Callithrix jacchus: one gene and its partners. The protein of the gene in region 1 interacts with the protein of each later gene in a pairwise test. Links are inferred from orthologs where the notes say so. Each region holds a gene or a part of one and is shown in the gene's direction. Other genes may lie near its edges.

Region 1 (5,020 bases):
TTACAGAGGTGAAACCAGCACACCCAGCTAATTTTTGTATTTTTAGTACAGATAGGGTGTCGCCATCTTGGCCAGGCCTGTCTCAAACCCCTGGCCTCAGGCGATCTGCCTACCTCGGTGTCCCAAAGTGCTGAGATTACAAGCCTGTGATAAGTAATCTCAGATTACTTTTCTGGATATCACACTCAGCCCTGCTATGTCCCTTTTAATTCAGATCAGCCCCATTACCTTTTTGGCCCTTTATTACACTGACATTTTTGAATAGTTTATGGGCTAGTATATTTTAAATCAAGTGTGCATCCATTGCTCACTGTAGCCATTAAAAACAAAAGCTCAGTGAAGCCCCACAGAACACCTAGCTTTAATCAAGGTATCTTTCTTTAAGGTGTTTATCTATAAAATAGCTGACTTGCTGGGACCATCTATCATCTTGATGACCTGGTCTATAGTTCTTTATGGCAAAATACGGCCAGTTTTGCCATTGAGACCACTCTTGGTTTGAATAATAAGGCATCCAGGACCTCCTACCCATTCTCCTTATAAGAATTTTTTCTTGAGGCCGAGCATGGTGGCTCATGCCTGTAATCCCAGCACTTTGGGAGGCCAAGACAGGCAGATCACCTGAGGTCGGGAGTTTGAGACCAGCCTGACCAACATGGAGAAACCCCATCTCTACTAAAAATACAAAATTAGCAAGCTGTGGTGGCGCATACCTGTAATTCCAGCTGCTCAGGAGGCTGAGGCAGGAGAATTGCTTGAACTTGGGAGGCAGAGGTTGCAATGAGCTGAGATCACACCATTGTATTCCAGCCTGGACAACGAGAGCAAAACTCCCTTTGAAAAAAAAAAAAAAAGAATTTTCCTTCAGAAGCATCCTGTGAGACAGATTGAGTCTGTGGAGGGAATACCCAGTTCTACCCCATAACACACTGTAGCCTTGAACTCCTGGGCTCAAGAGAGATCCTACCTCAGCCTCCTGAGTAGCTAGGACTGTAGGCACAAGCCATCATGTTCAGCTAAAAGTTCTACCTCTTAATAGCTGTATGGTGCAGGTGAAAGTGTTTTACAAGCTGTGAATTGCTGGCTATCCATTGTTATTGTCACAGTTGTGAAAACAGATCCCTTGAAGATGAAGTGATTTGCAACATTTCACAGTCTTGGTCCGCCTGCTGCCCTGGAGAGTGAAATCTTCGTATGAAATCCTACTTGTCTTGACAGTAGCCTACTGTATCCTACTCCTGTCACTGGCTAGGGAAATGCCTTTACAAAATGATACAGTAGGAAGAGTGGCCATATGTTGCCTTAGACTATAGGTCCTTTAGGTATATTATCCCATTTAAGCCTGAGGCAGGTACTGTTTTTGCTCTCTAGTACAGAAGAGGAAACCAAGACCCAGGGAGATGAAGTGACTAAGCCATGGTCACACACCAAGAAGTAAAGCCACTACAGCCAAGACTTCAACTCAGCCTTACGTGATTGCAAAGCTTTTAACCACTGTACTCTTCTGAGAGTACTTACTGGGACCTTTAGGACCTGGGATTCAGTACCTTCCCTAATGAGACTCCTTAGAATTTCATCCCATTTCTCATCAGGGACATCCTTGTCCAGCCCTGTTACCTTGGCAGTAGGCTGACCAGCAGCTGCATCATTATATCCAACCAGCAAAGCGTTAAACTTGTTAGAAAATGAAAGTTGTATGCCCTAATTTTCACTATGTTTTCCTGAAGGCTTGTGTCAGAGACTGTAAGATCAGTGAGAAGGAATTCCTAAAGTTACTATTAAGGGAGGGGAAATTTGTTATTGAAGCTAAAATTTGTGATGTTCCACAAGAAAATGAGAGTAGTGATGCTTGTCTTTTGTTCTCATTGTAGTACAAGGCCAATATGCACTTTCACAAGTTGTTTCTTAATGTTCCAACGGAGGAACCACTGAGGCAAAGTAAGTTCTGACGTTTGACTTTTTTAGCTACATATTTGAAAAGATGATAATTAGTTCTGGGGAAGAAAGAGAGCATAGTGTACGGACTGAGTCACCCAGGGGATCAGGTTTCTGAAAGTCATGACATAACAATAACACCAGCTTCAGTCAGCTTTCATCAGGCAGCGTGAAAAGATCAGAGAGGAGAAAGAGAAACAGTTCTCCATGGGGTATGGAGTCACCCAAGATGGTTCCATGATACCCTTCCCTTCTTTATTTATTGCTGAAATACACATGTTAGATTGCTTTAAGATTTAGAATAACAAGCCTGGGGCAACAGAGGTCACTAGAAGAAGGCTAAAAGAAAACTCACATCCTTAGACATGGACAGACATGTGCTGATGCCACTGTGAAGGGTGTGATGGTCACCTAAATATCTTGCCCAGTATGCAAGTTAAACACACCTAATGGGCTCTGCAGTGGTTCCTCAAGGGGCCCGACGTTCCATTCTAGTCTCTCTTGATGTGCAAAAGTTAAGGCAAGATGCTGGGTTCCTGCCATGACCTGGTCGCCATAGCTTTCTTCCCATAAAGAAGACTGAAGAAGAGGCAATAGAACTTTTGAGTATGAATATATTATCTCTGCCCATCCTTGAGTCACTAAAATATATACACAGTTTTAATTTTAAATGGAAATTCTAAATGATGCTATATCTCTGTATATTCTCCTAGGCTTTACCTGTGCACTACAGAAAGAAATACTATACCAAGGAAAGCTCTTTGTATCAGAAAACTGGATTTGTTTTCATTCCAAGGTCTTTGGAAAAGACACAAAGGTTGGTATAATTAAAAAAAAAAAAAAGAAGAAGAAGAACACTAACCCTATACTTTTATTGGATATGGTAAATATTAATTGTCTTAAATTTAGCTATATTTATAGATATTTATATCATGGTTATTCTGTTTTTATGCCAAGTTTCCTTTGTTTTAGTTCCAAATACTACAGGTTCTAAATGCTTCCAGATGACACTAATTTTCCTTTTTTCTCTAAACTTTCTCCCTCCTTTCCTTATACACATATACCCATATATGAGGTATACGTGTATAAATAAAGGAGGGAGAAAGTTTATATCTCACCCATAACGATACCCTAAATCCTTTTTACTAAGATGTCACCAGGGAACACTCAAAGTTGTTTCTATGGAGGGTGTGCCATGATTTTCAAAGGTATACATTTAAACTACAATGATTTCTTTTAAGAAACATCCATTTTTGTACCACATTTATACCAGTTACCACCAGCGATGTCTAGGGCAGAAGGCGTATAAATAAGCTACTTTTTAGCGTTTCCGCCGTACCCTCCCTGGCAAAAAATAAGCAGGAAGTAGAGCAGTTAAGGCCTAGCCTGGGAAGTTAGATACCCTCAATCCCAAGTGGACTCTGATATCACAGCTTTTCATTATTATTAAACACAGATTTGGGGAAGCAGAGACACATGACACCCTGAGGCATTAAGGAGAACAGCCTAAAGGAATTGGTACTGCCCTCTAAACTGGGGACCATGGGACTGTGGCCTGTGAAGGAAAGATAATTCTATCCCACTGACTTTTTTTTTTTACTTTTGAGCTATGATGTCACATCACAGTTCATTCAGGCCTCCAGAATAAGGAGTCCGAGAAACACCCTCTTGGGTTTGCATGACCTCAATGAGTTGTCAATCATTCTGATTCGTGGTTATGAAGAAGCAACTTTCATATTCATGAAGAAGCTGAATAAACTTTTTGTTTTGAGTGGTAGATGTGCTTTATTTAAATATTCTCTCTAAAACCACTGGCAGCAATCACATAAAGACCATTTTGTTGGTGTTGGAGCTAGAGACTAGCATACTATTCTTTAGGTAAAACATCTTCTTTTTATATTGATTTTTATCATATAGAGTTATATTTAGATAAGCATTATTTGATTCACAGTATTATCTGAATCAGTATAATACAAAGCAATATGAAGCAGTGTTGTATATATTTCTACATTTCTGAATTAAAGGGCTTTTTCATGGAATGGGGAAGGGGATTGGGTAGTACCAATCAGTGTGATACACTTCTCAGAAATTCACAGAGAGCCAACATCTGTGAGCAGAGCAGCAGGGACTGAAGACACTGATGAACAAAGTGTTAGTCTTTGTTAAGGGATTGGGGAATTCACAAAGGCAGTCAGTGCGGTTTCAAGCTAATAGGATTCTAGCAATGGTTTTAAAGTTCTACTTCTACCTAAGAGAGAACTGATAAAAAGAAGTTAGAAGGAGTGACCCTGGTTTTTTGAAGACATGGATCCACCAAGAGTGCTTTTACAATGTGTAACCTACCGAGGCAGGAGATTGAAAATTAGCAGAGTGTGGGAATAAGAACCATGATAGTGACTCGTATCTTCCATCCCTTCTAAGAATGGTGTCAAAGGAGACTTGGGCTTCAGAGATGTTGCAGACTTTCCTCACTGCCAGTGGACTTCAGTCCAATGTGGTCCAATATGAGCTCAAGACACCCAAACAATTGCTCTACAATGGGAACTTTCTGATCAAGTTCCTTTTCTAAAGCAATTTGCCCTGGAAAAATGTTACCATTGCCCTGGAAAAATATTATCATTCACTCTGGAACAATATGAATAAAATGTAGCCTTAATTTAATCAGGATCTTTTTAGTCAGCCTGTTGGTATTTTCATATGTTAGCAATATTAACATGCATGTATCACATTCTGTCTAGGCTCAAACTGATAAGTGATTTAAGCTTTATTTTACAAATGTTATCTAGTTGTACTTCTATACTCATGAAGCAATAGATTGAAAACTCCTTTTTAAGGGTGTTCCATGCCTTAGATGATGAAAAATCTAAATTTATAGCCCTTTGTCACTGCATGTTTGTATTGCTGCTCAGAAACTAAATTAGACCCGTTTTTTATTAACATCATCTAAGTAGATCTCAAATTCTTTTTTTCCAAATTTATCTCACCTTATAAGTTATGGATGCCTCCTGCTTTTGAAAAATGTGAGTGGAGTTCTTTGGCAAACAGTTTTTAGAAAATGTCTCAGTTGGGTTAGTCCTTATTCTTC
Region 2 (4,390 bases), on another chromosome or scaffold:
AGAACAGCGACGGCATGGAGGTAGCCGGCACTCAGATCCAGTTGGTGAATGTGAGCCTGGGTTATGTGCGTTCTCAGTTCCTGAAGTTAAAAACCAGTGTGGAGAAGGCCAACGCCCAGATCCAGATCTTAACGAGAAGTTGGGAGGATGTCGGTACCTTAAACACCCAAATCCCAGAGTTAAAAAGAGACCTAGAGAAAGCCAGTGCTTTAAATACAAAGATCCGGGAACTCCAGAGCAGTTTGGAGAATATGAGCAAGTTGCTCAAACGACAAAGTAAGTCACTCAGAAAATTACATTGAAACTGACCAGCGGCCCATGGGACCCTTACCTGTCCCAGACCTGAGACTATGGGGCTAGTGGGGTGGGGAGGAGATGGGGGGCAAGAGAGGGGCAGCCATGGGCTAGAAAGTTTAGGAGAGAAGGCTTTGGGTTGGGGAGCACTTAGGGGCTGTTAGGAAAAGAGACTAGGGTCCAGCTGGAGCTAGACCACACCAAAGTGCAGAATGTAAAAGCATTAGGAGATGTCCACCCTGGCCCATACCTGGTCATTTCCCATCAAGTTCCTTTCTAGAGTCTAGGGCCGCAGCCACTTGTCATCGCCAATGGAGAGTTGCTTCCCCTTCATGGGAAAGACATCCTTTGTCCATCTTATCACATTCTAACCTCTCCAGTCCCAGAGACTCTATTAGTCTCTGTCTGACTTTCAGGATTTGAAAGAGTATCCCCAGTCCCCTACACAAGGACCCAAGGACACCAGAGCACAGCTGCATTTGCTGCTGTCTCTGAGACTTCATTCAATTGCCCCCACCAAGCTAGCACCCCAAGAAAACAAGAATACCAGCGTTCACTTTTAGCTCTTGTTCTCTAGATGACATTCTACAGGTGGTTTCTCAAGGCTGGAATTTCTTCAGGGGAAACTTTTATTACTTTTCTCGCATCCCAAAGACCTGGTATAGTGCCCAGCAGTTCTGCATTTCCAGGAATTCACACCTGACCTCGGTGACCTCAGAGAGTGAGCAGGTGAGTGCTGTGCCTATGGGATCTGGGAAGGGGGTGTATAAGCATTGGGCCAGGGAGGATGGACAAGATTATGCTGGGCTAATAAAAATCCCCAAATATTGATGACCTAATGAAGAAGCATTATTTCTCACATACCATGTCCAATAAGGACTGTCAAGGGGGCTCTGGGCACTGTGGCTACTCAAGGACCCAGGCCGAAGGAGACTTCATTTTAACATGTTTCCACAATTGCTGGGGCAGGAAAAGGGAACTTGATGTATTGTGCAAAGCTTCGGCCCAGATTTAACTTACCTCATTTTTACTTACATTTCACTGGCCAAAAGTAAGTTATACAGTACTCCTGGATTCAAAGAGGGCAGAGAGGTGCTACTTTCCACATGCCCAGAAAAAAAGAGATATTCGTGAACAGCATTAATGAATCCTCATGACTCAAGAAGTCTCCTGCCTGGTGAGGCAGAAATTGCATGAGCCCTTTTCATCTGGGCAGTGGGATAGCAGAGCAGGTCAGAGCCTGGGCTCTGGAGTAGTTCTAGAGCCCTAACCTTGCCATCTATCCAGTCCTAGCAGCTTGGGTGGAATATGCAACTTTACTGGGCAAACTTCACTGTCCCTTACTTGATGAAACATGCATGGTGCTGGCACCTGCCTCAGAGAGGAAAGGAATGAATGCATATGGAGGACTCAGCACAGTGCCTTATGTGGACTCAGAGCTTGCTAAATTCAGGTGTTATAATCTGAACCATTCTCTTGGGGTCCATGCTCTGGCGTTCAGCTGAGGCCTTCTTGTACTTCAGCACCTGCTTCCTGAGTGGCAGAAAGGCTTGGGTCCTGAGCTTGTTAGCTGCAGGGCAGGGAAATATCATAATCTGGAAGATGAAATCTGAGCCCTGGGCAGGGCAAGAAGAGGCTTGAGAGAGGCCATTGTGTGCAGCACATCTGTGGGTCAGGGATGTCACTGAGCACAGGTGACAAACACCCAGAGATGATGATCAAGCTCCGGGTGTGGCCACACCTCTTCTTATCCTGTCTTTCCTACAGGAGTTTCTGTATAAGACAGCAGGGGGACGCATCTACTGGATTGGCCTGACTAAAGCAGGAATGGAAGGGGAGTGGTCCTGGGTGGATGACACGCCATTCAACAAGGTCCAAAGTGAGAGGTAAGGCTCTGGACCCCTCCCTGCCAGCCTGCGTTTCCCTGGCTATGGCCTGGGAAAGAAGAGAGTGGAGGTGATGCTCCCCACGAGACAGGGTTTCTGATTCTTCTCTGTCCTAGGGTGACAGGAGCATTGGAACCAAGATCTAGTGCAACCCTGTCACTAACTGGCTGTGGGACCTGGGCCCTCCATGCCCTCTGGGGTTTGGCAGCAAGGCCTTCTACCTGGCCAGCTTCAGAAGGGATTGTGTCATGAGTCTAGGTCTTCACATTGTGGGTTTGTATAGGGACTTGAGAGTGGTGAACTGGACTTGGGGCGTGAGTGAAAGCTTAGAGGCCTCACGAGTCCTCTTCCTCTTAGGCTTGGGTGCAGACATTTGCTGCCATTCCCTACAACTAAACCTGGGATTGAGTTAACTTATTTCTTCAGTGGATATAAGTTCTTCTTCATTTTCCAACTTTGTAAATCCATCTTTTTTCCCCCACTTGGTAGGTTCTGGATTCCAGGTGAGCCCAACAATTATGGAAACAATGAACACTGTGCCAATTTAAAGGCATCCTCGCTTCAGTCCTGGAATGATGCCCCATGTGACCAAACATTTCTTTTCATCTGTAAGCGACCCTACATTCCGTCAGAACCATGACAGGACAAGTTCCCAAGCTCACTCTTGGAGTTCCAGCGCTTGTCAAATATGAGGAAATGCCTCTTTCTTCCCCAGACTCCAGGATGACTTTGCACCTTAATTTTTCTTGCTTCAAAATTGTCCCACAGTGGCATTCTGGAGTCCGTCTGTCCTGGCTGCAAATTCTCCAACCCCATGGAGGCAGCTGGAACAGAAAGGAGGATTCAGGTTAAAGTGGGAGGGGTGGGTGGAGAGGATTTAGAACTTCCAATTGCTCTGCTGCTGTGCCATCTTTGAGCCTCACAGAGCTCCAAAGACCTAAGCCTGAGTTCCTGCCTCTCACCCTATGTGCCCTTGCCCTAGCTCCCTAGCTGGCTAGTTCCCTACCATCTGGACCAGCTGCACTCCACTCAGTTTTCTACTTAATAGGTTTCATTTCTCTGCCAGCCTGGGAAGCTATTCAAACAAGCCAATCACATCCTCTCACAGGAACCCGAGGCACCTCATGCTTTTGTTACAGCGAGGCTGCCTCCCACAGCCCTGTTGGTTCACTCTGCTCCTGAGCGTGACCCCATGTGGCCCTGCATGGCTTGTGATGTCTTTCCTCACTGGACTCTATTTTGACTAGTAAACTGCTGTCAATCTCATCTGACCAGCGTCAAATGCGTGTTTTTGGCCATCTTGTCCTAAGCAGAGCAGGGGATCTCTCCCTCGCCAATGGAGGAAATGGGGGGTGACAAGAACAAGGCTGGTCAGGGATCTCTGGTTGGTTTTGGCCAAGCGATGAGCTGGGAAAATCAGACCATTTCTCTGGGAAAGAATTTGGAAATAACAAGGGGATGAGGCTGTTGACAGAAGGAAGTTGAGTTGGAAGGCCCTGAGTTAGAGAAAGGCTGGAGGGGCCGTCATGGGGCACTGGAGGAAACTAACAATGAGCAAAAGCTAAGAGGCCGAGGAAAGATGTGAATTAGGTCAGGCGCAGTGGTTCATGCCTGCAATCCCAGCACTTTGGGAGGCCAAGGTGGGTGGATCACCTGAGGCCAGGAGTTTGAGACCAGCCTTGCCGACATGATGAAACCCCTGTCTCTACTAAAAATACAAAAATTAGCTGGGTGTGGTGGTGGGTGCCTGTTATTCTAGCTACTTGGGAGGCCAAGGGAGAAGAATCTCTTTAACCTGGGAGGCAGAAGTTGCAGTGAGCCGAGATCGCATCATTGCATTCTAGCCGGCTGATAGAGCGAGACTCCATCTCAAGTAAAGAGAAGTGACAACAGAGGATTTAGCTGGCAGAGAAAAGAGAACAACTCAAAGGAGTAGTACTGGGGGTCCTGGAGGGCAGGCTGAGGGGCTCCGGCTGCTCACATTCCCTGTGCTGCCTCAGATCCTCCCAGCCCTTCTGATCCTCCTGGTTTCTGTGCATGGAGATCTTACAAGACCTGTGCCCCTGACCCCTCCCGTTGCTTTCTCTAGAAACTGAAAAAGCCTGAGTCAGTGAGGATGTGTCTTTATCTGGAGTCTGTGCCCCAGCCTGTATCCGGCAAGTGCAGCATTGCCTTGGCTTCCTCCTTTGAGGAAGCTGGACACCTGCCAC
Region 3 (5,020 bases), on another chromosome or scaffold:
CAATTTTCATTAAGTACCAAGTACTTCACAGACATGCCCCCTGCTCTTGGAAATGTAGCATTTATTTAACTGCTTGAGGTGAGACCCTGGGCACATGACTTATCCTCTCAGAGCCTCAGTTTCCTCATCTGTAAAATGGAGATAAGTATTCCTACCTCACTGAGTGATTCTGAGGATTTAATAAGATGATACTTGTAAAACACTTAGGAGAGTATCAGATAAATGGCGAACGTCAGTGTGACCTGTTTTTATTGTTACGGACTCTAAGAGAGGGCCCAATTCAGATCAGGGGGTCAGGGAAAGCCCTCTGAAGAAATGGTGTTGAAGCCAAGCTGGAAGAGTGTGCAGGAAGCCGGCCAGGCATGACTGCGGGCAATTACTGTATGTAGGCAGAGAAAACCCACAGGCAGACACCCAAGGGCAAAGGACACTCGACCTGGGCTGGGGACAGCAGCCAGCGGGGTCAGGCTACTGGCGGCAGGGTTAGTGGTAGCAGGGCTCTGGCAGGTGGCTTCATGGAGAGCACGGAGTGGGTGTTTGAAGCAGGACCAGTGAGGCTCCTGTGGGCGGACAGTGGCAAGAGACTCGGGAATATGCGACCTGGACTGGATGGGGGTGGTGGGGGAGGAGCAGGCCACATCTTTTCCCCAGATGTGAGTGGGTGGGTGTGCCATATGCTGAGATAGAGAAGGTTCCAGTGTCAGTGCTAGACAGGCCGAGACATCAAGTGGAAATGTCGAGGAGGTGGTGGGAGCTGCAGGGCTGTGAGGCCCAGAAGGCCAGAGCTGCAGCTTTAAATTGGAGGGTCACGGCATATGGGGGCCAAGCAGGCAGATGGGATGTCTGGGGAAAGAGTATGGACTGAAACAGCTAAAGAAATGCAGCATTTAGGCTGAGTGTGGTGGCTCATACCTGTAATCCTAGCACTTATGGAGACTGAGGTGGGTGGATCACCTGAGGTCAGGAGTTTGAGACCAGCTTGACCATTATGGAGAAACTCCATCTCTACTAAAAAATACAAAAAAAGGTAAAATTAGCTGGGCATGGTGGTGCATGCCTTATAATCCCAGCTACTCGGGAGGCTGAGTCAGAATTGCTTGAACCCAGGAGACAGGTTGCGATGAGCTGAGATTGCACCATTGCACTCCAGGCTGGCTGGGCAACAAGAGCAAAACTCCATCTCAAAAATAAAAAAAAGAATTGCAGTATCTAACGGACAGGAAGAGGGGCATGGACAGTGATGGAACTTGAGAAGGGGGGTGCAGTGTCCCCAAGCTATGTGGAAAGGGTCTGAGATTAAACACATACACAGTGCAGGCATGCTTAAACCTACTCAGGGGTGGTGGGGAGGGTCCCGCTCATTCCAGGTGAGACTGGGCTGAGGGCTCCAGGCATTGGCAGGCTCTGAGCTGAGGAGGGCCCGTACCATCCACAGAGATCTCATGCCTTGCCCTGTGCTTTGCTAGCTGGGCAGAAAGACTTAGCCCTGTAGGAGGCTTGCCCCACCTCCCTCTGACCTGTTCAGAAATGGTCAACAGCTCCAGGTTGCCATAGCCCCCTCAGCACCTGCCCTGCTGACTGTGTAGGCTGCTGCCCCCCTCAGTGTCCTGACCTATCCCCACCTTGTCCTACAGGAGGTATTTCATAGAGAACTAAAGAGCAACTCCATGAAGACCTGGGGCCTGCGGGCGGCCGGCTGGATGGCCATGTTCATGGGCCTCAACCTCATGACTCGGATCCTCTACACCCTGGGTAAATGTCGGGGCGGGTCTCTGCCCTTCCTCTTACAGTCTCCTCTGCCTGTTGCATCATCTCAGCCCTTCCAGCCTGATGGGATGGCCCCTGTGCAGAGACAAGGCAGTTGGCCAATCTCTGTGTCCCTGCTCCATAGCCTTGGGATGAGGGAGCAGAGGAAGGCAAGTGTGAGGCCAGGAGCTGCCAAGGGCAAGGCTGGGTGGGGCCGACTCTGGGGCACTGGTCTTGCTCCATTGCCTGAAGATCTGTCCATCCACTCGGCTTGCTCATTTGCTCATCATTCCTTTGCTCCACAATTGAATATCACATGGGACCCAGCCAGACCTGCTTGAAATCTGTCACATCCAAGCTCTGGATGCTTGGCCATTCCCTTTCCACCTCAGCTTCAGTCCCCTCACCCCTCACATGCAGAGTTTTATGAAATGTTTGGCAAATAGGAAACACCCAAAACTATCATGTTTCCTTCCTTACTCCAAAACCTGGGCTAGATTTGGACAGCCAGCAAGTCTGGAGGATGAAGGAGAGTTCTGGGCCGTTCTCCTAGCCTGAGGTTGGTGCCAGCAAGCCCAATAGGAGCCCTGTGTCCTAGAGTGGTTGGAGATCTGAGTGCCCAGGGTGGCTGAGTATGTTCTGGGCCTGGGAGGTTGTGGTTCCACATAGAACTCTCCCTCCAAGCCTTTCCCTGGTGTGTGTCTCTTCCAATTACATGACTGGGTCCAGCCTTCTCTGGGTGCCAACAGAAACCTCTCCCCCATTCAGCAGGTACAAGTTGGAAGAGGTCTGGCAGCACATCTTGGGCTGTCAGAGCTTGTGGGGACCACCACCTTTGTTTACAGTTCAGAAAACAGGGCTTGGAAGGAAAGGACTCTCCCTGAGGCTTTCTTTGGACAGCCGAATTGTGCTCAGAAAGACAAGTGACATGGTGGGCACATTAGGGAGAGATCAGCATTTATTTATTTATTATTATTATTTTTTAAATTTTTTATTGGATTTTAGGTTTTGGGGTACATGAGCAGAGCATGTAAGACAGTTGCGTAGGAACACACATGGCAGTGTGCTTTTCTTTCCTTCTCCCCTTCACCCACATTTGGCATTTCTCCCCAGGCTTTCCCTCCCCACCTCCCCCTCCCACTGGCCCTCCCCTTTTCCCCCCAATAGACCCCAGTGTTTAGTACTCCCCTTTCTGTGTCCATGTGTTCTCATTTTTCATCACCCACCTATGAGTGAGAATATGCGGTGTTTCATTTTCTGTTCTTGTGTCAGTTTGCTGAGGATGACTTTCTCCAGATTCATCCATGTCCCTACAAACGACACAAACTCATCATTTCTGATTGCTGCATAATATTCCATGGTGTATATGTGCCACATTTTTCCAATCCAGTCTATTATCAATGGGCATTTTGGTTGATTCCAGGTCTTTGCTATTGTAAACAGTGCTGCAATGAACATTCGTGTACATGTGTCCTTATAGTAGAACGATTTATAGTCTTTTGGATATATACCCAGTAATGGGATGGCTGGGTCAAATGGAGTTTCTATTTCTAAGGCCTTGAGGAATCGCCACATTGTCTTCCACAATGGTTGAACTAATTTACACTCCCACCAACAGTGTAAAAGTGTTCCTTTTTCTCCACATCCTCTCTAGCATCTGTTGTCTCCAGATTTTTTAATGATCGCCATTCTAACTGGCGTGAGATGGTATCTCAATGTGGTTTTGATTTGCATCTCTCTGATGACCAGTGACGATGAGCATTTTTTCATATGATGGTTGGCCTCATATATGTCTTCTTTCGTAAAGTGTCTGTTCATATCCTTTGCCCACTTTTGAATGGGCTTGTTTGTTTTTTTCCTGTAAATCCGTTTGACTTCTTTGTAAATTCTGGATATCAGCCCTTTGTCAGATGGGTAAACTGCAAAAATTTTTTCCCATTCTGTTGGTTGCCGATCCACTCTAGTGACTGTTTCTTTTGCCGCGCAGAAGCTGTGGAGTTTCATCAGGTCCCATTTGTCTATTTTGGCTTTTGTTGCCAATGCTTTTGGTGTTTTGTTCGTGAAGTCCTTGCCTACTCCTGTGTCCTGGATAGTTTTGCCTAGATTTCCTTCTAGGGTTTTTATTGTGCCAGGTCTTATGTTTAAGTCTTTAATCCATCTGGAGTTAATTTTAGTGTAAGGTGTCAGGAAGGGGTCCAGTTTCTGCTTTCTGCACATGGCTAGCCAGTTTTCCCAACACCATTTGTTAAACAGGGAATCCTTTCCCCCTTGCTTGTTTTTGTCAGGTTTATCAAAGATTGTATAGTTGTAGATATGTTGTGTTGCCTCCGGTGCCTCTGTTTTGTTCCATTGGTCTATATCTCTGTTTTGGTACCAGTACCATGCTGTTTTGATTACTGTAGCCTTGTAGTATAGTTTGAAATCCGGTAGTGTGATGCCCCCCGCTGTGTTCTTTTTGCTTAGAATTGACTTGGCTATGCGGGCTCTCTTTTGGTTCCATATGAAGTTCATGGTGGTTTTTTCCAGTTCTGTGAAGAAAGTCAATGGTAGCTTGATGGGGATAGCGTTGATTCTGTAAATTACTTTGGGCAGTATAGCCATTTTCACGATATTAATTCTTCCTAACCATGAACATGGAATGTTTCTCCATCTGCTTGTGTCCTCTCTGATTTCGTTGAGCAGTGGTTTGTAGTTCTCCTTGAAGAGGTCCCTTACGTTCCTTGTGAGTTGTATTCCAAGGTATTTTATTCTTTTTGTAGCAATTGTGAATGGCAGTTCATTCGTGATTTGGCTTTCTTTAAGTCTGTTATTGGTGTAGACGAATGCTTGTGATTTTTGCACATTGATTTTATATCCTGAGACTTTGCTGAAGTTGCTTATCAGTTTCAGGAGATTTTGGGCTGAGGTGATGGGGTCTTCTAGGTATACTATCATGTCGTCTGCAAATAGAGACAATTTGGCTTCCACCTTTCCTATTTGAATACCCTTTATTTCTTTTTCTTGCCTGATTGCTCTGGCTAGAACTTCCAGAACTATATTGAATAGGAGTGGTGAAAGAGGGCATCCTTGTCTAGTGCCAGATTTCAAAGGGAATGCTTCCAGTTTTTGCCCATTCAGTATGATATTGGCTGTTGGTTTGTCATAAATAGCTTTTATTACTTTGAGATACGTTCCATCGATACCGAGTTTATTGAGGGTTTTTAGCATAAAGGGCTGTTGAATTTTGTCAAATGCCTTCTCTGCATCAATTGAGATAATCATGTGGTTTTTGTTT

The links.
Region 2: the proteins of GRAMD2B (region 1) and CD207 interact in binary tests that used the Homo sapiens proteins (3 or more experiments, as listed by UniProt). The two-hybrid records come from large-scale screens. The link is inferred for Callithrix jacchus from reciprocal best matches to the Homo sapiens genes GRAMD2B and CD207.
Region 3: the proteins of GRAMD2B (region 1) and TMEM43 interact in binary tests that used the Homo sapiens proteins (3 or more experiments, as listed by UniProt). The two-hybrid records come from large-scale screens. The link is inferred for Callithrix jacchus from reciprocal best matches to the Homo sapiens genes GRAMD2B and TMEM43.

What each region holds. Positions count from the first base shown.
Region 1 is NC_133503.1:82,702,398-82,707,417, reverse strand, and holds part of GRAMD2B (GRAM domain-containing protein 2B), read left to right. Parts: intron 1-1,871; coding exon 1,872-1,938; intron 1,939-2,648; coding exon 2,649-2,752; intron 2,753-5,020.
Region 2 is NC_133515.1:42,989,171-42,993,560, forward strand, and holds the end of CD207 (C-type lectin domain family 4 member K), read left to right. Parts: coding exon 1-276; intron 277-871; coding exon 872-1,023; intron 1,024-2,061; coding exon 2,062-2,180; intron 2,181-2,669; coding exon 2,670-2,820; 3' UTR 2,821-3,446; downstream 3,447-4,390. UniProt on the Homo sapiens protein: Calcium-dependent lectin displaying mannose-binding specificity. Induces the formation of Birbeck granules (BGs); is a potent regulator of membrane superimposition and zippering.
Region 3 is NC_133516.1:71,110,295-71,115,314, forward strand, and holds part of TMEM43 (transmembrane protein 43), read left to right. Parts: intron 1-1,634; coding exon 1,635-1,752; intron 1,753-5,020. UniProt on the Homo sapiens protein: May have an important role in maintaining nuclear envelope structure by organizing protein complexes at the inner nuclear membrane. Required for retaining emerin at the inner nuclear membrane.